Linked DNA regions of Stegostoma tigrinum. The protein of the gene in region 1 purifies or fractionates together with the protein of each later gene. This does not show direct contact. Links are inferred from orthologs where the notes say so. Each region holds a gene or a part of one and is shown on either strand. Other genes may lie near its edges.

The links.
Region 2: the proteins of exoc3 (region 1) and exoc7 purify together in Homo sapiens (affinity purification with mass spectrometry; 5 studies listed by BioGRID and IntAct, counting the BioPlex papers as one, with this or other methods). This does not show direct contact. The link is inferred for Stegostoma tigrinum from reciprocal best matches to the Homo sapiens genes EXOC3 and EXOC7.

What each region holds. Positions count from the first base shown.
Region 1 is NC_081355.1:20,901,766-20,912,068, forward strand, and holds the start of exoc3 (exocyst complex component 3), read right to left. Parts: upstream 4,374-10,303; 5' UTR 4,075-4,373; intron 416-4,074; 5' UTR 370-415; intron 1-369. UniProt on the Homo sapiens protein: Component of the exocyst complex involved in the docking of exocytic vesicles with fusion sites on the plasma membrane.
Region 2 is NC_081375.1:4,039,736-4,049,483, forward strand, and holds the start of exoc7 (exocyst complex component 7), read left to right. Parts: upstream 1-5,992; 5' UTR 5,993-6,062; coding exon 6,063-6,122; intron 6,123-6,357; coding exon 6,358-6,423; intron 6,424-9,338; coding exon 9,339-9,523; intron 9,524-9,748. UniProt on the Homo sapiens protein: Component of the exocyst complex involved in the docking of exocytic vesicles with fusion sites on the plasma membrane.

The DNA.
Region 1 (10,303 bases):
TTAGTACACTTTGTGATCTACTCCAAACCATAAATTGCTCCCTGTGCTATCACAATCAGTAATTTATCCAAGTATTATATTTATCCAATGTTCTCTCCAAACACAAATAATACAAACATTTGCACAATCAGAGCATTTTCCTTTAGATCAGGGCAAAAATTTCACATGATGACTTAACCAAGAAAATATTGTGACAACAATCTGCAATAATTTTAAAAATGTATAAAACTTTTAGATGATGCTTCTTTTCATAAATCTAAGTAACTCCTGGGTACCACTCTGAAAGTAATTAATGTTTTCTTTTGAACAAGGTATGCTGCATTGGAGTAGGTCAACCAAAGTGAAAGATATTTAGAATGTCTTACTTACTCCACTTTGTTAACTAAAGGGTGAAATCTGATGGCAGAGATCCAACCTGCACAATGAAAAAATGTGTGAATTGTTTGATGTAGACTGAAGGAGACCCCAGTTATAGCTGTGGCTTGTCATGTGTTACTGTTGAAGTAATTGTTCTTCCCCATAGCTTTGAATATATCATGCTGTACTCTTCCTCCTCCTCGCATCCTCACTGTGCTTAAATCAAGACATAGTATGCCATCTCCTCTCCAAAGTCATTCTTTACCAACAGTTTAAAACTGTGGAACTTAGTATCTTCCTTCCTGAAAACTCTTATCTTTTAAAACCCATGGCCAAAATCAATAAATCACTGGGATAACAAAGTGTGGAGCTGGATGAACACAGCAGGCCAAGCAGCATCTTAGGAGTACAAAAGCTGACGTTTCAGGCCTAGACCCTTCATCAGAAAAGGGGGCTGGGGAGGGGATTCTGAAATAAATATGAAGGGGGGTAGGCGGACCGAAGATGGATAGAGGAGAAGATAGGTGGAGAGGAGGAGCAGATGATTACCTGTACATCCGCCAATGAGGTATACTGCATCCGCTGTACCCGGTGTGGTTTCCTCTACACTGGGGAAACCAAGCAGAGATTTGGGAAATGCTTTGCAGAACACCTACGCTCGGTTCGCAATAAAGAACTGCACCTCCCAGTCATGAACCATTTCAACTCTCTCTCCCATTCCTTAGACATGTCCATCCTGGGCCTCCTGCAGTGCCATAATGATGCCACCCATAGGTTGCAGGAACAGCAACTCATATTCCGCTTGGGAACCCTGCAGTCCAATGGTATCAATGTGGATTTCACCAGCGTCAAAATCTCCCCTCCCCCCAATGCATCCCAAAACCAGCCCAGCTCGTCCCCGCCTGCCTAACCTGTTCTTCCTCTCACCTATACCCTCTCCTCCCACCTCAAACCACACCTCCATTTCCTACCTACCAACCTCATCCCGCCCCCTTGACCTGTCCGTCCTCCCTGGACTGACCTATCCCCTCCCCACCTCACCACGCATACTCTCCTCTCCACCTATATTCTCCTCTAACCATCTTTGGCCCGCCTCCCCCCTCGCCCTACCTATTTCAGAATCCTCTCCCCGTCCTCCTTTTCTGATGAAGGGTCTAGGCCTGAAACGTCAGCTTTTGTACTCCTAAGATGCTGCTTGGCCTGCTGTGTTCATCCAGCTCCACACTTTGTTATCTCGGATTCTCCAGCATCTGCAGTTCCCATTATCTCTGATCTCAATAAATCACTGGTTCTTGATTTACCATTTTATCTCCAGCTTTCATAACCTTGATGCTGCACTGCATCACAGACTTTAGCCTGTCAACAAGATCAAGTAATGTGGCTCAATGACCCAAATGAAAGAATATTATATGATCAGCAGACGCATAACCTTCTTTTACCACTTTTGCATTTTGTACATTGGGAAAGAAAAAAAGCTGCCAACTCAGGGCATTGGAGTAAGATGCTATAAACCATTTTAGCCTGATGTGTTGTATTACAAAAAGCCAGTTGGCGAAGAACAGAACCTTCTTAACGCAAAGATAAACCTTTTAATTTAACAACAGTTTTAGTTTGTCTAGCTCCTCTGCTAGGAATTCCATCCTTACACTTTATTTCCAAAGTCGATGGAGACTGATTTAGCTCAGTCATTACCAAGATCATCATTTGGCCAAGCACTATCCACTCAAAGTTTCCAAACTGATAGGTAAAATGGGAAGCTAAAGCTCCTAAGAGTTTACCCTGGCCTAGCAGATGGATGAATTTGACATCTTTGGTAGTTGGGCCATTCAGATACAGCGAGGCAGTGACTGGGTTGAATTGATTTCCAGAGATCAATTTACTGCAGAAAGGAAGCATACAAAGGAATTTTGAGTGAACGGTGTCTGTTCAAAGCAGATTTGAGACAATCTCACAAACAGACAGACCTTACAAGACATTGGGAATTGTAAAGAAGCCTGGGCCAGATGCCCCACTGATTGGTCTCTCCATAATCACTCCCTGGTTATGCCAGTCTTCCACCTACAGCATAACAGTGTTCAAACAATTGCATATCTTGAATCTTACTTATGCTGAATAAAATATAACCAAAGTATTATTACTCTGAATCATTTTGGAACTCGGGACAGGAGGCTAAATGACTCCCAGAATCCAGATTTTTTAGCACGCACATGACTGATCTTGATTCATATTTTACACTAGAATTAGTTTAACTGAAATGAGTGTTCAGACTAGGTGGCTGCAGAGTGAGAAAGAAACAATATTGCTTTAAAGTTTGGCTTGAAGCTGCTGAACAGTACAGAACATATAAGGGACAATAGTGAAGTCAGATTAACAGAGACAGAATTACACTTGCTGATACAGTAGGGATGTTGAGCAAGACAGTAAAGTGGCTAGCAGAAATAAACTACAACTTAAAAAACAAACACAATTTTACTGAGGAAAAAACCTCTCTATAGCAGGAATCAAGTTTGTGTTATGAAACATGAAATACTCCCTAAAACAAATACCATTACTGATTTTAAAAAAATGTTTCTGATTGCAAATACATCCTACAACAAAACGGCATTCACAATTTTGCTGCAAATAAATTGTTCATAAAACTGGGGAAAAAATCTTCTCAGACAGTGTCCAAATAAAGGACTTGATTTTGTAATGAAATGTTATAAATAAAGCTACAAAACCAAATACTTCTCTGAAAATCATAAATAATTAGGCATTTATGAAACTAAAGTGATGCAAAATGTATATTGACATTGGTAACAGGTATAGTACTACAAATAATCATCCTATCAAGTTGTCTAATCATGAACAAAAAGTAATGTCCCATTTTGTTGGTAGCTGCAACAAAACAGTGGTCATTCCCCACTACATTGCCCCATATGACTTGGTGTTATCAGAATGGAAGAATGGAAATGGAATTCTGCAGAGATACTGAGTGCCAGTTTGTCTCTGTGATAGCAATCACCCTTCTGAAGGCAAAAAGACTGAAGCTTCAACACTAGCACAGGACTCTGCAAAAACTAACGTGACACTTTAATGTAGTACTGCGGGAGTGAATGATCATAACTCCACTTTTCTGCTAGGGTGTTACCCAGAGCTCAGTTCACCTGTTTAAGCTGCTCTCAAATCAATATGCCCTCATTCTGGTTGAACATAGTGCACTACAATAAGAAACTTTAGCTACCTGACCAAGACTAAAGGATAGTAAGTGCTGGATTGAAATTTTGACATAATCCTTTAACTGACACTTCACAATAACAATTCTTTAAGGCTATCGTAAACTTTTGACAATTGCCTTATGTAAAGGTAACTTTCTAATATATTTCATCTCCAGTTCTAGGACAACAATAAATAACAACACAGCTGAACAATAACACGACAGCGTGGGGTAGCAATAGCACAGAGAAGGAAGCAAGTCCCAGATCTTGAAGCTGTAATATCATCATTGACAAGGGTTCGCAATGATTGCCATTTACCAGGCCCTGAGACTGCAATAACACGCACAGTTGGATCTGAGGATTTTAATAAGATTGCTAGACTGAGAACACCAGACAAGCACAGACTCCCATAGACCCGCACTAACATTTACCCAGAGCCAGCGACTGCAATGTCACCAGACTGCACTCTTAATCTGAAACGAAATGCGTCCCGAACCGCAAATGTCACTGACTGTCCTACCCTGGGAACGAAATAACACCACACCCGGGCTCGTTTGACCGTTTCTTGTCTTTTGACGCCTCTCTGCACTTCAAGCAGCAGGAACAGGCCCCAGGCCCGGGCCTAGCACCACCTTCACCACTCCAGATCCTCCTAACCCTGCCTGGGGTACTACGGCCTCTCGCAGCGCCAGAGGGACGGCGGGAAGACAATAACGAAATCGAACACCACGAGCATTCAAACCGTGTCCCGCGACGGCACGAAACTCCGACCGGCCAGATTAGAAACCGCGCCGTCCGACGGGTAGTGTAGTCGGCCTGTCGCATTGGGGAAACTACATAACCCAGCATGCACCACGGCAGAGCAAGTACATTTCCGGCCAGCTGGGGAACGGTTTGGAGATTGTACTTTGGCTGCGGTCTCCATTCCTATCTGCATTAGACTATCCAAGAAATCAGTGAGCTATGTCTAGAGCAGTCTGAAGCTGTCGTAGCAAACATAATTTATCTAAACCAAAGTCTGTATACGCTGCAAAGAGAGTCTATCTTAAAAATAATCTCTACAAACCACAACAAACAATCTATGGCCGAAATTATAGCAAAGTATACTAATAGACACTGGGAGTTACATAAAATCTGGGATCTGGAGTGGGCCATTCAAACCCTTATGCGTGAGCGATGTCAAAAAGATCACGGCTGATCTCACTGCCTTGCCTCTACTTGCCTGCTTGTTTCCCATAGCCCTTGACTTCCTTGTTGATCAAAACCCTAGCTAACTCAACCTTGAATGACTTCAAAGATCCAGCCTTTGCTTCTGCCTGTGGAAGACAATTCAAGGCTAACCAGTTGCTGAGAGAAGTGTGCGAAAGCAAGTTGGCTATGTTGATAGAACGTGAGATTGTCTTAAACTGGGGTTGCGAGCCCAGCTAGTCCAGGCACCACATTTTGGTGAGGATGTGAAGGCATAGGAGAGAGTTCAGAAAAAAAATCATGAGAACGGTTCTCAAGATGAGAAAGTTATGAAGGACCATTTCTGTTGGAGAGTAGAAGGCTGAACAGAGATTTAATAGATGCAGTGAGCAATCCTACCAAAATAGATCGGGAGAAACTTACCATTTGTGAAGAGATAGAGAACATAATGACATAGTTTTACAATAATTAGTAAAAGAAACAAAGGCAATGAGATTTTTTTCACATAATGAGTGGTTCTGTTTAAGGTGTACTAACTGAGATTGTAACAAAGGCAGATTCAGTTGAAGCACTCACAGTAGAGTTAGACTATTATCTGAAAAGGAAGAATATACAGGGTTTCAGACAGAAGACCAGGAAATGGCACTAAGTGAATATCCCATCCGGAGAGCTGGCAGAGGCATGATGGGTCAAACTGCCCTATAATTTGTCAAATTATGTGAAGAAATGCTTGCATTCGAACAGCACCTTTCATTATCTCAACACATTCCAAAGCTTTTTAGCCATTGAAATATTTTAAACAATTGTTACTGTAATAATATAGGGAATTACAGTAACCAATTGTTCACAGGACAAACCCACAGGATAATTTGATAATGACCACATAATTCATTGTTGCTACAGGAATAAATACAGCCCTGGGCACTGGGGAGAAATGCCACTGCTTTTCATCAAATTGTCACATGGTGTTTTCACATTGATCTGAGTGCACTTGAGAGCACACAGTGAGAGTAAGTCTTACCTTAGTGTCTCAATTATAAGGCAGCACCTGCAACTGTGCAGCACTAACACAGTACCGCAATGGCAGTTTCAGCCCAGAATTTATTCTCCACTTCCTGGATCAGAACTTGAACTCAAGACATTCTGCCTCATCCACAACTTGTGTTCCAGCTGAATATTAGTAGCAGGAGTATTCAACACCAAGAGTCTGCTCAAATCATGGCTGGTCTGCACCTCAATTGCATTTGTCTGCCTTGCTCCACATTCTTTACCACTTACCCAACAAAAATCTACTGATATCTGTCATGGACACCTCCAGCAGCCACAGAATTTTGGGGGATAATGTTCTGATTTATGCCCATTTTTCCCTTTTTAATTCACATCAAAATGTTCTTGCAATAAATAGACATAACAATAGCACTGTGTTAAAGAAAGATAGCCTAGAATTTACAACTTCAAACAACACTTGTCTATCTTTGGTGCCTTGTTGAGTTGTATGCTACTTGCAAAGACACTGATAGCAGCAATTCCAAGACGTTTTGACAAGATCTGTACAAATACTTTATTGTAGGTTTTTAAACTAAGTATTTACAATGTTTTGTAATTATAAAACAATAATTAGTGCACACTGCAAAATGGCAGAACTTGAAGGATTCTTTCATTGTCAAACATTGAAAAAAACATTCATTGGAGAAACTGACTGTTTACATGTTCTCCTGATAGATCCACACAATCTGAAAGAAAATGAGGATAATTTTCTTCTATGTATTTTCATTAAGGAAATATGGAATTCAATGATGTAAACTGTACTGTAATGAAGATTTTACAAAGTTTTGTTTTTGAACAGAACCAATCTTCTCAAGCTTTAGAAAAACACAGTTATTGCATATATATATATTTCAAACCCTATATTAAAAACTTTACATTTACAAAGACCTCCAGTTATTATTTTACCATTGAAAACCCTTTTGTCCATATTTATTCTGGAAAGTGTAGCAACACCACATAGGGTAGTGGATAGAATAGTTTTACATAGGGAAGGAAAAATAATAGAGCTTGCAATTATATAGTATTTCTCCAATGTTAGAACATTCCAAAATTCTCATGAGCAATTGAATACTTTTGAATTGTCATCACTGAAGATATGACAGCTAATCCATGCACAACACAACGCAATAATGAGTTCATACTTTATTTTAGTGAACTTGTTTTAGGGATAATTGTTGACTTGGACTTGGACACCAACTCCCCTGTTTTTTCTTTGAAGTAGTACTATGAGATCATTTACATTTACCTGAAAGGGCAGATGGACCCTCAGTTTAAAGCCTCACAGGTCATATCCATTTAAAGGTGGAGACATAGGAACCTATCATAGAAGTGAACAGGAAAGGACAGAGTGTATGATGCCAAACCTGGACTGAAATACATTATTGTGTTTTTCTCCATCTGAAAACAATATTATGTCTTGACTACATGTGTGCAACACTACTTAAGATTGACTGGCATTGAAAATAAAATGTAATTTAAAACTTACAAATGATCTCAGAAATATCTGCCAGTGAAAACTTCTAAAATATGCAATAGGAACTGCAGAACAACTGGGTGTAGAAACCTTGACGTTCTCCAAAAGGGAAGTGGGGAGCTGACAGGGAACAAGTACTTAGCAGTCATAGGTTTGAACTGTTAAACACCTATTTGTTACAGCAGTGGGTTTATGAAATTTGTGTTGTTGTTGTTTGTTGTTGTGGAGTGGGTTTATAAAGTTGACTTTAAGGCAATTTGTTGGAACCGAGGAATGGCTATCAGCAAATATTTGACCAACAAGTGCTTTTTTGCAATAATCTGCACTATCCCAAAAGAAAAAGATTATTAGACACAAACAAAAGCAAAGTATTAAAGATATGACATATGTTAAAGCTAAATTGTCATTTCATAAATACATGTTGCTTTCTGTACATTATTGCTGTTTTTATATTTATTTACAAAAATGAGCAGCAACATTGACAAAGTATTTTAACAGTTTGTAAACAGTGATGGAGAAGCACTTGTTCTCAAAATTTTATCTCTTTAATACTTGATTTAATAGGCTAGGCATATTTGTTTCTCTTTCTGGTGTTCTGAAAGAGACAACACAGAAGAATAAACATTTTTGAGACAACAGGCAAAGAGAATTATATAAATCTTCACAGGGAAGCTGTCTGAATTAAAACGTAATGTTGGGGTTATCACATTTAATATGTGATGTATGGAACAATGTTTAATGTCTCCCAGTGATGTACTGAGGTGAAATCCCTTTGATCTTGCAGTAATTAGGTCACAGATATAATGAATGAATGCAATGGGGTAAAATTGTTTAAAACGGTATCTACTTTCAACCTTAGCTCTAATTTATTGTTACAAGTAACATCGATATTTTTATGTAGATGCAATCAGAATGATGTTCTTAAGTAAATATTTAATAACATGTGATGCTCCTATCTTACTATGTCAATGAAACAATTTGCTGTGTCTGATTTCATATGATTATTGTCTGTGTTTTCTGATTCTTATGATTATGACACTTTTGAACAAAAAATACAAAATCATTTTGACTTGGTAAGTATTCAAAGCATCATACAAATGCAAACGAAGAAGATGAGGAATATGTTGCAGGCACCTGTGTTTATAACAGAATTGCAAATGGGATATTGGCATTATTGGCAAGGCAATAATTTATTGACACTCACTGATTACTTTGAGAAGGTAATGATGCAACTGAGTATCTGAGTTTGTTATGGTCTCTTCCAGAGCATAACAGAAAGTCTGTTATGAAATCACACACAGAGACCACACTGGACAAAGGTGAAAGGTTTCCTTCCTGAAAGGACGTCAGTGTTTTTGGACAATCCAACAGCCACAGGGTCACATTCAATGTGAACTTACACTCTATAGAGGTATAGCCCAACAATATATCCATTATACTACTCAGGCCCTGGGTAGATTTTTCTACTTAGGGTCAGGACCCTGACATCGGGATCAAATCCTGTTTCCAACTCTGCATTTTGTCAGGACGGGTCGTCTGACACAGATTTTGCCTTGATTCTAGCCAATTAGAGACTTGAAAACATGCCTGCCATCCAATTAACACTGGTGGGTGGGCTTTTAAAGCACAGAAGCCAATGAGACACCCTCCAGCACAGAAGGAACTGCGGCCCACCATTGTTGGCAAGGAAGAAATAGGATTTTTCCATTTTGAAGAATATCCCAGTCGGCCTGTGGTCCAAGACCTTAATTGGGCTCTAATGACCCTAACTACCTACGATCCAGTTGCAGGTGGGTAGCTGTTCCACCCTGACCAGGCCCTCACAAAAATGGCTTGGGGCCAGAATTATGCTGGTAAACTGGCATGCTAGCTGGTGGTGCAAAATGATGCCTTGTTCCTGTTGCATAACAGGATGAAAATCCTGCTCTATGTTCTGTTACAGAGCAGGTTTGAACATGCATGATTGCGGACACAGGTCCAAATACAATAGAAAATCAATATATAGGGGAGGTGCATCTCTAAACTCTGTTATTCTACATGTTGGATCCAACAGCATGCATTTACATAGTGTCTTTGAAGCAAACAGATGTCCCAAGATACTTCATTTCCTTCTTCATTTAAAGAACAGGAAAACTCCCTGCACTTTATGCTGTCTGTCAAGCACATGGTTCGCAAAGTAGTGTGCATAACAATCTTAGTTAATTATGCATTAGATGGTTTAAAGTGGAAAAAGAAACAAGCCCAGGTACAATACTGAGAAAGGAAGATCCTACACTTCATCTCTGATCTGTGCTGTCCTGTTAAGCATCGCAGGATTGTAATTAGCCTGAATGTGGTCATTTCAGGTAAAATACACCTCATTTCTCCATGATCACCAACATTCAGGTGCTGGAGCTCTGTGGATATCAGGTTCAGACTGGATGAGGCTGAGCTATTCAGTAGATCTGCTATTTCATAGACTGATAACATGAAAAAAATTTCAGACAAGGTATCAACAGCAGAACAGTGGACAACTGTTTTAAGGACAAGACCAGCAACTCAATGGTCAAGAATAAAAAGAAATTGAATGTTTTTGTACCTGGCAACATAAAGGCTACATATCTTTTAACTAAATAGGTGCCCTCATTTTAACAGTCCGTAGACTCAATACCGTATGTTAAAGTCAGGAATTTATTCCATTCACTTGGACGCTAAGACTTGAAAGCACAGACCCTAAGCTTTGGAATTTCCCAGCTGTCCCACTGATCCTTTTTTCCTCTCTAGTTCTCTCTTCTTTTAGAACACTCCTTAAAGCCTACCTCTTTGGTCAAGTTGTCCTAATATCTTCTTTGCAGGTCTTAGGATCAAACTTCATCTGCTAATGTAGTTTTAAAGTGCTTTAAACCTTTAAAATTCTGTTAAAAGCACTGTACAAATCCAATTATTGTTCTACCTGTGGATTCTTCAGACATAAATATCAAGTATTTCAATGTTTTTCATGTGCTCCCAAGACTGCTACATTCATACACAATACATCATAGGCAAATTATAATGAAAGTCC
Region 2 (9,748 bases), on another chromosome or scaffold:
TGCTCCCAAGATGCTGCTTAGCCTGATGTGTTCATCCAGCTCCACACTTTGTTATCTTGGATTCTCCAGCATCTGCAGTTCCCATTATCTCTTACCAAAAGGATGTGGATGCTGTGGAGAGGGTGTAGAGGAGGTTCACCAGGATGTTGCCTGGTATGGAGGGCGCTAGCTATGAAGAGAGGTTGAGTAGATTAGAATTATTTACATTAGAAAGATGGAGGTTGAGGGGGACCTGATTGAGGTCTACATAATCATGAGGGGTATAGACTGGGTGGATAGCAAGAAGCTTTTTCCCAGAGTGGGGGACTCAGTTACTAGGGGTCACAATTTCAAGGTGAGAGTGGAAAAGTTTAAGGGAGATATGTGTAAAAAGTTCTTTACGCAGAGGGTGATGGGTGACTGGAAGGCGTTGCCAGCGGATGTGGTAGAGGCGGGCACGACAGCATCATTTAAGATATATCTGGACAGATACACGAATGGGCAGGGAGCAGAGGGATACAGGTTCAGATAGAGGATCTGGATCAGTGCAGGCTTGGAGGGCCGAGGGGCCTGTTCCTGTACTGTAATTTTTTTCGTTCTTTGTTCCAATAGTCTACTTCCTGTCATACCCATTCTCACACCCATTGTGAGAATTCTTGATGTGAAAGTCAGAATGGGTACGTGCAACTTCGGGTCACCTGTTGCTGTGAAGGGCCTTCGTTTGTTCACTATCTAACAAAATCTCAGGGTAAGATACCAGCTGCATGCACCCCTTGTCCACATTGGCATCCAACAATTGTCAACCCCATAGGATCCTCATTGGAAAGGAACTTGCAGGTGATGGTCTTCCCATCTATCTCTGCCCTTGTCCTTCTAGAATGGAGTGGCCATGGGTTTGGAAGGATTTTGTCTGAGAATCTTCAGTGACTTTCTGCAGTGCATCTTGTGGATAGTAAATGCTGCTGCTAATGAGTGTTGGGTGAAAGGGAATGGATGCTTGTGGATATGGTGTCAATCAAATGGGCTGTTTTGACCCGGTTGGTGTCAAATTTCTTGCATGTTGTTGAGGCTGCTCCCATCCAGGCAAGTGGAGAGTTTTTCATCCTACTCCTGACTTGTGCATTATAGGATGACGGACAGGTTTTGAACAGTCAGGAGGTGAGTTACTCACTTAATTATTTCTAGTCTCTGGCCTGCTTTTGTGGTCATTATGTTTATGTGACAAGTCCAGTTGCGAGTTTGGTCTGTGGGAACCCCCAGCATGTTGATAGTTGGGGTTTCAGTGAATGCAACTCCATTGAAAACCTTTAAAACATGACAATATCCCAAATAACAGTCTCGTATATTAGTACAAATCCTTGTTGGTATTAATAGTGGCATACATCTGGGAATCCTCAACTAACCACAGTTGCAAGTACACATGGCTGATGTCAAACTTTGTGAAGCACAGCACCCCTGCCAGTTTCATGTACCAATCCTTTATCCAAGTGATTGGATATTTATCCATCTGTGAAAAACAATTTACCATTTGTTTAAAATCACCACAAAGGTGAACCGACCCATTTGGCTTCACCATCGGTATGAGCCATTCCGCAAATTGTACTGGTTTGGTGATTCATTTCTAGCCTTCTGATTTCACCTTCCCTTTCGCCAAAAAGGCAAATGGCACTGGATGGGCCTTGCAGGATCACAGAATTGCTTCTTGATCAATGTGTAAGGTGACCTCGGCTCTTTGATTGTCCCCAGACCTTCCTGTAAAACTACCAAGTGTTTAATTAGAACTTCACTGGTGCAGCCATTTTCTAATTGAAAAATGTTGAGTCAATTAAAGTGAATCATTCTCAACCAATTTCACCCCAATGTCATTTAGAACATAGATCAGTACAGCGCAGTACAGGCACATTGGCCCATGATGTTGTGCCGACCTTTTACCTTAATCCTAAGGTCTATCTAACCTCCACCCCTACCTTATACTATCATCCATATGCCTATCTAATAGCCGCTTACATGCTCCTAATGAGGCGGAATCCACTACCCGCTCTGGTAATGCATTCCATGCCCCGATCACTCTCTGAGTAAAGAACCTGATGTCTCCCCTATATCTACCTCCACTCACTTTAAAACTATGCCCCTCATAATAGCTACCTCCACCCTAGGAAAAAGTCTCTGACTGCCTCCTGTATCTATACTTTTGATCATTTTGTACACCTCTATCACCTCTCATCCTTTGTTGTTCTAAAGAGAAAAGCCCTAGCTCTCTCAACCTTTCCTCGTAAGACCTTCCCTCGATTCCAGACATCTTGATAAATCTCCCCTGCACCTTTTCCAACACTTCCACATCTTTCCTGCAATGAGGCGACCTGAACTGGACACAATACTCCAGATGTGGTCGAACCAGGCTTTTGTATAGCTGGAGCATAAATTCACAGCTCTTGAACTCAATCCCTCTATTAATGAAAGCTAACACACTATTTGCCTTCTTAACAACTCTGCCCGAAACGTCAGCTTTTGTGCTCCTAAGATGCTGCTTGGCCTGCTGTGTTCATCCAGCCCCACACTTTGTTATCTACCCACCTGGGTGGCAGCTTTCAGGGAACTGTGGACATTAACCCCAAGATCCCTCTGCTCCTCCACACTGCCAAGAATCTTTCCGTTAATGGCACGGTGGCTCAGTGTTAGCACTGCAGCCTCACAGCACCAGGGACCTGGGTTCAATTCCCGCCTCAGACGACTGTCTGTGTGGAGTTTGCAGATTCTCCCCATGTCTGTGTGGGTTTCCTCTGCATGCTCCGGTTTCCTCCCACAGTCCAAAGATGTGCAGGTTAGGTGGATTGGCCATGCTAAATTGCCCATAGTGTTTAGGGAGGCTGGGTCTGGGTGGGATGCTTCAAGGGACGGTGTGGATTTGTTGGGCCGAAGGGCCTCTTTCCACACTGTAGGGAATCTAATCTAATCTTAACCCTGTATTCTGCTTTCAAGATTTCCTTTCCAAAATGAATCACCTCACACTTTTCAGGGGTAAGCTCCGCCTGCACTTCTCAGCCCAGCTCTGCATCCTTTCAATGCCCCTTTGTAACCTAAAACAGCCCTTTGCACTGTCCACAACATGACCCACCTTTGTATCATCTGCAAACTTACTAATCCACCCTTCCACACCTTCATCCAAATCATTTACAAAAATCACAAATAGATGACCCAGAACAGACCCTTGTGGTACACTATTTATAACTGAGCACCATGTTGAATATTTTCCGTCAGCTACCACCCTTTGTCTTCTAAGGGTCTGCCAATTCTGAATCTAGTCTGCCAGATTTCCTCCTATCCCATACCTCCTTACCTTCTGCAGGAGCCTACCATGGGGAACCTTATCAAACGCCTTACTTAAATCCATGTATACCACATCCACTACTCCACCTTCATCCACGTGCCTTTCCAAGTTATCCTAAATTCTATCTCTCAGAGACCTTTCCAATAATTTGCCCACCACCGACCTGAGACTAACTTGCCTGTAATTTCTGGGGTTATCCTTATTCCCTTTTTTGAACAAGAGAATAACATTTGCCTCTCTCCAATCTTCCGGCACCATACCAGCGGAGAGTGAGGACGAAGAGATCACCAAAGGCCCTGTGATCTCTTCCCTCGCTTCCCATAGAATCCTTGGGTAAATCCCATCAGGCCCGGGGGACTTATCAATTTTCAACTTCCTCAAAATTCCTAGCACATCTTCCTTACTAACAGCAACCTCCTCCAGCCTACCAGCCTGTTTCACTCTGTCCTCTTCTAAAACTAGGTCTCTCTCAGTTGTGAATGCCGAAGAAAAGTATTCACTCCTCCTATCTCTTTACGATCCATGCACAAATTCTCTTTACAATCCTTGATTGGCCCTACCCTTTCTCTGGTCATTCTTTCATTCCTCACATAGGTGTAAAAAGCTTTGGAGTTTTCCTTGATCCTGTCTGCCAAGGTTTTCTCATGCCCCCTTATAGCTCTCCTAAGCCCTTTCTTCAGCTCCCCACTGGCTAACTTGTATCCCTCTAGAGCCTTTTCCATTTCTTGTTTTCTAAACCTTACAGAAGCATCCTTCTTCCTCTTAACCAGTCATTCAACACTCTTGAGAACCAAGGCTCTCTCACTTGACCGCATCTTCCCTGCCTGTTAGGGACAAACATATCGAGCACAAGCAGTATGCATTCCTTAAACAATCTCCACATTTCAATAGTACTCTTTCCTGACAACATCTGTTCCCATTTTATGTTACCCAGTTCTAGTCTAACAGAATTGTAATTACCCTTCCCCCATTATAAACCTTACCCTGCTGTATGTACCTAATCTTTTCCATGACTATTGTAAAAGTAACAGAGTTATGATCACTACCACCAAAATGCTCTCCTACCAACAGGTCTAACGCTTGGCCCGGTTCATTGCCAAGCACCAAATCCAAAGTAGATGTTCATTTTGCATTCTTTCAGAGGTGTTTTTGATTAATTGTTATGTCCATTTTCCTGGTCACCATGAAATTGCTCAAGTTGCTAAACGTTCTGGCCTCTTCTAATTTTGGTCTTTTCAGCAGACCATTTTTTAAAATTGCTTAACCATTGGTGGCCCTGGTACCTTCAATTTGCAGAAACATAAAAGAGTTGTAATGTACAAGGTCATTTGCTCAGAAAAATGTAGTGCATTCTTTCCGAATTTTTGGCCCATCTTTGACAGCAGGATTGAATGAGTCAAGCTTCCCAAATAACAGCATGATGTCAGAAAAGCTAACACTATCTAAAAGGCAACTATGATGAGTAAATACCTTCAAGAGTGTGTTATTTCATTGTTCCTCCTGAAATAACTCTATACCGGCGAGTACACAATCACCAAATCACCCTTTATTTATATGTGGGAAGTCCTTGACTTTTTGTCTTATTCCACAGATGAGTTTTCCCTGCACTTTCTGTTTTCATTTCAGATCTCATGCATCCAGTTTTGGCCATTACACCAGATTGGATTCACCACATTGTTTCTCACCTTGCTTTATTTTCTTTAACAAACAGCTTACAGGTGTTCATTTTGCATTCCTTCAGAGGTGCTTTTGATTGATTGTTATGTCCATTTTCCTGGCCACCATGAAATTGCTCAAGTTGTCAAATGTTCCGACCTCTTCCAATTTTGGTCTCTTCAGCAGACCTTTTTTTTATTGCTTAACCATTGGCACTGGTACCATCAATTTGCAGGAACATAAAAGTGTTGCGATGTAGAAGGAGACTATTTGGCGCATTGTGTTTACACTAATTCCTCAAAGGAACATCATTAAGCTGGTCTCATACTTCCCCCCATACCCTTGCACATTATTTCTATCCAAACAATCATTCAATGCCCTTTTGAACGCCTCGTTGAACCTGCATCCAGCATGCTTTCAGACAGTAACTACTCACTGTATGAAAATAATGATTTTTCTCCGTTGCATTTGCAGCAGTTAAGTGGGCCTTGACCTTTGGAATTCCCTTCCTAAACTTCTTCATGTCGCTCTTTCTTGTCATTTATGATGCTTTTTAAATTCTACCTCTTTGCGTGAGCTTGTGGTCGTCAGCTGGCCGAACAGCTCCTTGAGTGTCTTGGGATCAAGCGCCTGCCTATTTATCACCCCGGTGAAATACTCCAGTTTTCAGGCTGAGTAAATTCAAGTCACACAATCAGCAGTTCAGCTTGACCCTTCAGAGAGGTAAGCAACCCTGGTGATTATTTGACAAATCACAAACATGTGAGGCTCCAAATAAAAGGACTGATGTCTTGGGGCAATTTTTCCCAAACATTTCCTGGCTGACAGAATGTTAACATCAGTAAATGATTTTCTGAAGAAGGGTCTAGGTCTGAAGAAGCCTTCCTGCGCCTCTGATGCTGCTTGGCCTGCTGTGTTCATCCAGGCCCACACCTTGTCATCTCAGATTATCCAGCATCTTCAACTCTACCGTCATCCCAGTGAGCTGTTCGTCTCCATAGCGACAGACCACACCCCCCGCATCCCCAGGCCGGACGTGACGCAAAGGAAGTTTGTCCTGCTGACCTGAGGCCTGTGCGGAGAGGCTGCGAGGCGCAAAATGATTCCTACAGAGGACGCGTCCGCCAGGAAAAGGCATATCGAGGAGAAGCTTCAGCAGGTAAATGGCCGGGGTAGCCGTGGAAGAGGAATGGATAGTTGGAGTGCCGTGTGCCGGTCTCTGTCTGCAGTCCCCGTCCAGGGGTCTGGTCGGGGCGAAAGCGGGTGCGATGTGGTGTTATAAGTATTGCCAACTGCTATCCTAATGATGGTCTGATGCCTTTGCATTTACTATTAACTAGGAAGTCAAGTGTCTTTGATTAGATGCATATTTGTGACTTTTCTTTAATAACCAGGAGCAAGAAACCTTGTCGTTCATAAGAGAAAGCTTGGAGAAAAGTGACCAACTGACCAAAAATATGGTAAGTTCATCTTACTTCAGTCGTAGGTCAATGTTTTGTATATTAGAAGCAGCTGGTAAGGTGGACAGTGATAGGGGTTTGGTGGGGTGTCAGAAAGGGTGTTACTACACTACAGACCCTGATTTTATCATGTTTTGTGCATGTGTGGGCTAAATGGCAGTGTGTCACACTGACATATTTCCATTTACTAAAAGAGAATATCATGTTTGCTCCTGGATTGTCAGAGATGATGGTGTGTGTACTACTGTTTATCTCCAGCTCCTGGGGTAAGAAAGAAACTGGGGTTTGCACAATCAACTGTTTTACTTGTCTGTCTGGGTGGTGGAGGTCAAGGGTTTGGAAAGTGGTGTTGAAAAAGGATCGGTGAGTTATTATGCTTCATCTTTTGGATAACATGTACTGTTACTACTGTGCATTGATAGTGGGAACAGTGAAAGGTGAAGATGGTGGGCTGGAGTACCAGTTAAGCTGCTTAGTCCAGGATGGTTTTGAGATTCTTGACAGTTTTTTTGTACTTGTGCTCATCCGTGCAAGTGAGGAGTATGCCATCATACTCTTGCCTTGTGTCTTGTAGATGATGGACAGGATAGGGGAGGTGATGGCCTAGTATTAATGCTGGACTGTTGACCCAAGAACCTAGGTAATGTTATGGGGACCCAGGTTCAAATCTTACCATGGCAGATTGTGGAATTTGAATTCAATGAAAACCTACAACTGAGAATCTAGTGATGGCCTTGAATCCATTGATGATTGTCAGGGGAAAAATCCATCTGGTCCACTAATGTCCTTAGGGAAGGAAACTGCCTTTCCCTTACCTAGTCTGGCCTACATTTGAATCCAGACTCTCAGCAATGTGGTTGACTCCTAACTGCTCTCTATGCAATTAGGGATGGGCAGTAAATGCTGGCTTAGCCAGCAATGTCCTCATCCTTTGAAAGAATAATAAAAGTTGGGGAGTCTGAGTTACTTGCAATAAAATTCCCAGTCCCTGTCGTCTTTTGTGCTTCCAGTAATACGTGGCTAGTCCAGTTCAGCCTGTGGTCAGTGGGATCCTTTACAATATCGTCAGTGATTTCATTTGTGGTAATACCAAAGGGAGGTGCTTAGATTCTATCTTGTTGGAGTAGTTGCATTTGGAAGGCAATGAGTGTTAATTGCCATTAGTTAGCTCAAGCCTCACATTGTGCAGGTCTAGTTGCATTTGAACATAAACTGCAAGTATTTGGGGTGTTGTGAAGTGTGCTGAACACCGTGCAATCATCAGAGAATGTCCCAATTTCTGACCTTATGATGGAGGGAAAGGCATTGAAGCAGCCAAAGGTGATTTAGCTTAGGACGTTACATGAGGAACTCCTGTGTGTGATGTGAATGAAATGTATAGATGTTTCAAAGTCCTCAACCCTATCTGGTATTTGAATACTGTAGAGTGATGCTGTTGGGCTGGATGGGATTATATTTTCACCATTTTGAAATATTTCAAATTGTGTTACATGTAAAATATTTTTTCTCTTTATCATCTCTTTTGCCTGATGAGCTTTATTCTATTTTTAAAACAGGTCTGCAGGATTTCACGTTTGTGTTTATAGAGGATTGTCTCATTAGATTGGAGATAATGGGAACTGCAGTTGCTGGATAATCTGAGATAACAAAGTGTGGAGCTGGATGGATACAGCAGGCCAAGCAGCATCTCAGGAGCACAAGAGCTGACGTTTTGGGCCTAGACCCTTCATCAGAAAGAGTCTAGGCCCAAAATGTCAGCTTTTGTGCTCCTCTGATGCTGCTTGGCCTGGTATGTTCATCCAGCTCTGCACTTTGTCTCATTAGATCACTTTTTTTCTCAAGCCAGCTTCCACTTTGGAATTAGACTTGCCAATGATAAGCTCAGCTGGGACCATTACATTTGGGGGCTCTTGCAGGATTTGAATTCAGTGGGTTTAATAGGAATCTGTGTCTTTTTTAAAGTAATCGGTACGTGAGGCTTCTGCATCTAAAATGGCTGTGTTGTGATGAAGTATGTTGCATGGAATTTGAAGATTATTTTGAGTGTTATTGGGTTTATTTGGTAGTATTTGAAATCAAATCAGGATCTCTCAGGATGAGATGCTTTGTGTTTATCCACCCTGTAAAAAGGTAAAGTCATCATCGTCTTACCAGATCATAGGGCTGCACTGTGATAAGAGAGGCATGACCGGTGATGGTTTAACCTGAGGGTCACCACATCTCAAAGGGAAAAATCTGAGAAGCATAGTCGTTCAGAAATTCAGCTGCTGCAGAAATTGAACTCACGTTGTTGACATCACTGCATCGCAAACAAAACTGTCCAGCCAACTGACCTAACTGGTAATATTTATCCAGAATTGGAAGAAAGCAAGCCAGAAATTGGGATGCGATGGCTGGAATTAGTTAAGGTACAGTTGAAAATGAAGAGACTTGAACTAGAAACACACCCAGGAAGCTGGAAAGTGAGGAGAAAGAAAATCAAGAGTAATGGACATAGTTTAGGAACCTTGAAATTGAAAGGGAGAAAAACAAGAGGGGTATAGAATTAGTAGAACTCAACTCCTAAAAGATAAATAACTTTTATAGCATAAGTTGGCCAAAGAACAACTTGGAGGAAAGGAAGAAAGGAGGAGGTTGATGAGATTGGAGGGTGATTCTGACTAGAATGAATGATTTGCTTGGTGCCCACATTTACTGCGGTTGGATTCAAGAAGTATTTTATTTCATGTACTGAGACATTAACAGTGCAGAATGAGGCTATTGGGCTATTATGTCCACACCAATCAATCAACAAAGATCTGACCACCGTACTCCTATTTTCTTGCACTGACACCAGGCACGAGCCTCTGAATCCTGAGGAGGGACTGAGAGACTGTATGTTGCATAACAGCAAAGTCTTTACTCCACATTTCTAGGTTTCCATCCTTTCGTCATTCGAAAGCCGGCTAATGCAGTTGGAGAATTCCATCATTCCAGTCCACAAACAGACAGAAAATCTGCAGCGCCTGCAGGACAACGTGGAAAAAACTCTCTCTTGTTTGGATCATGTTATCAGCTATTACCATGTGGCTAAGGACACAGAGAAGATCATCAAAGAGGGGTGAGCAGAATTGGAGTGCGAAAGTTAATTTCATTCCCTGTTCATGTTAGTCAGCAACAGCTCCTTTACTTGTATCAGAGATAATGGGAACTGCAGATGCTGGAGATTCCAAGATAATAAAATGTGAGGCTGGATGAACACAGCAGGCCAAGCAGCATCCCAGGAGCACAAAAGCTGACGTTTCGGGCCTAGACCCTTCATCAGAGAGGGGGATGGGGGGAGGGA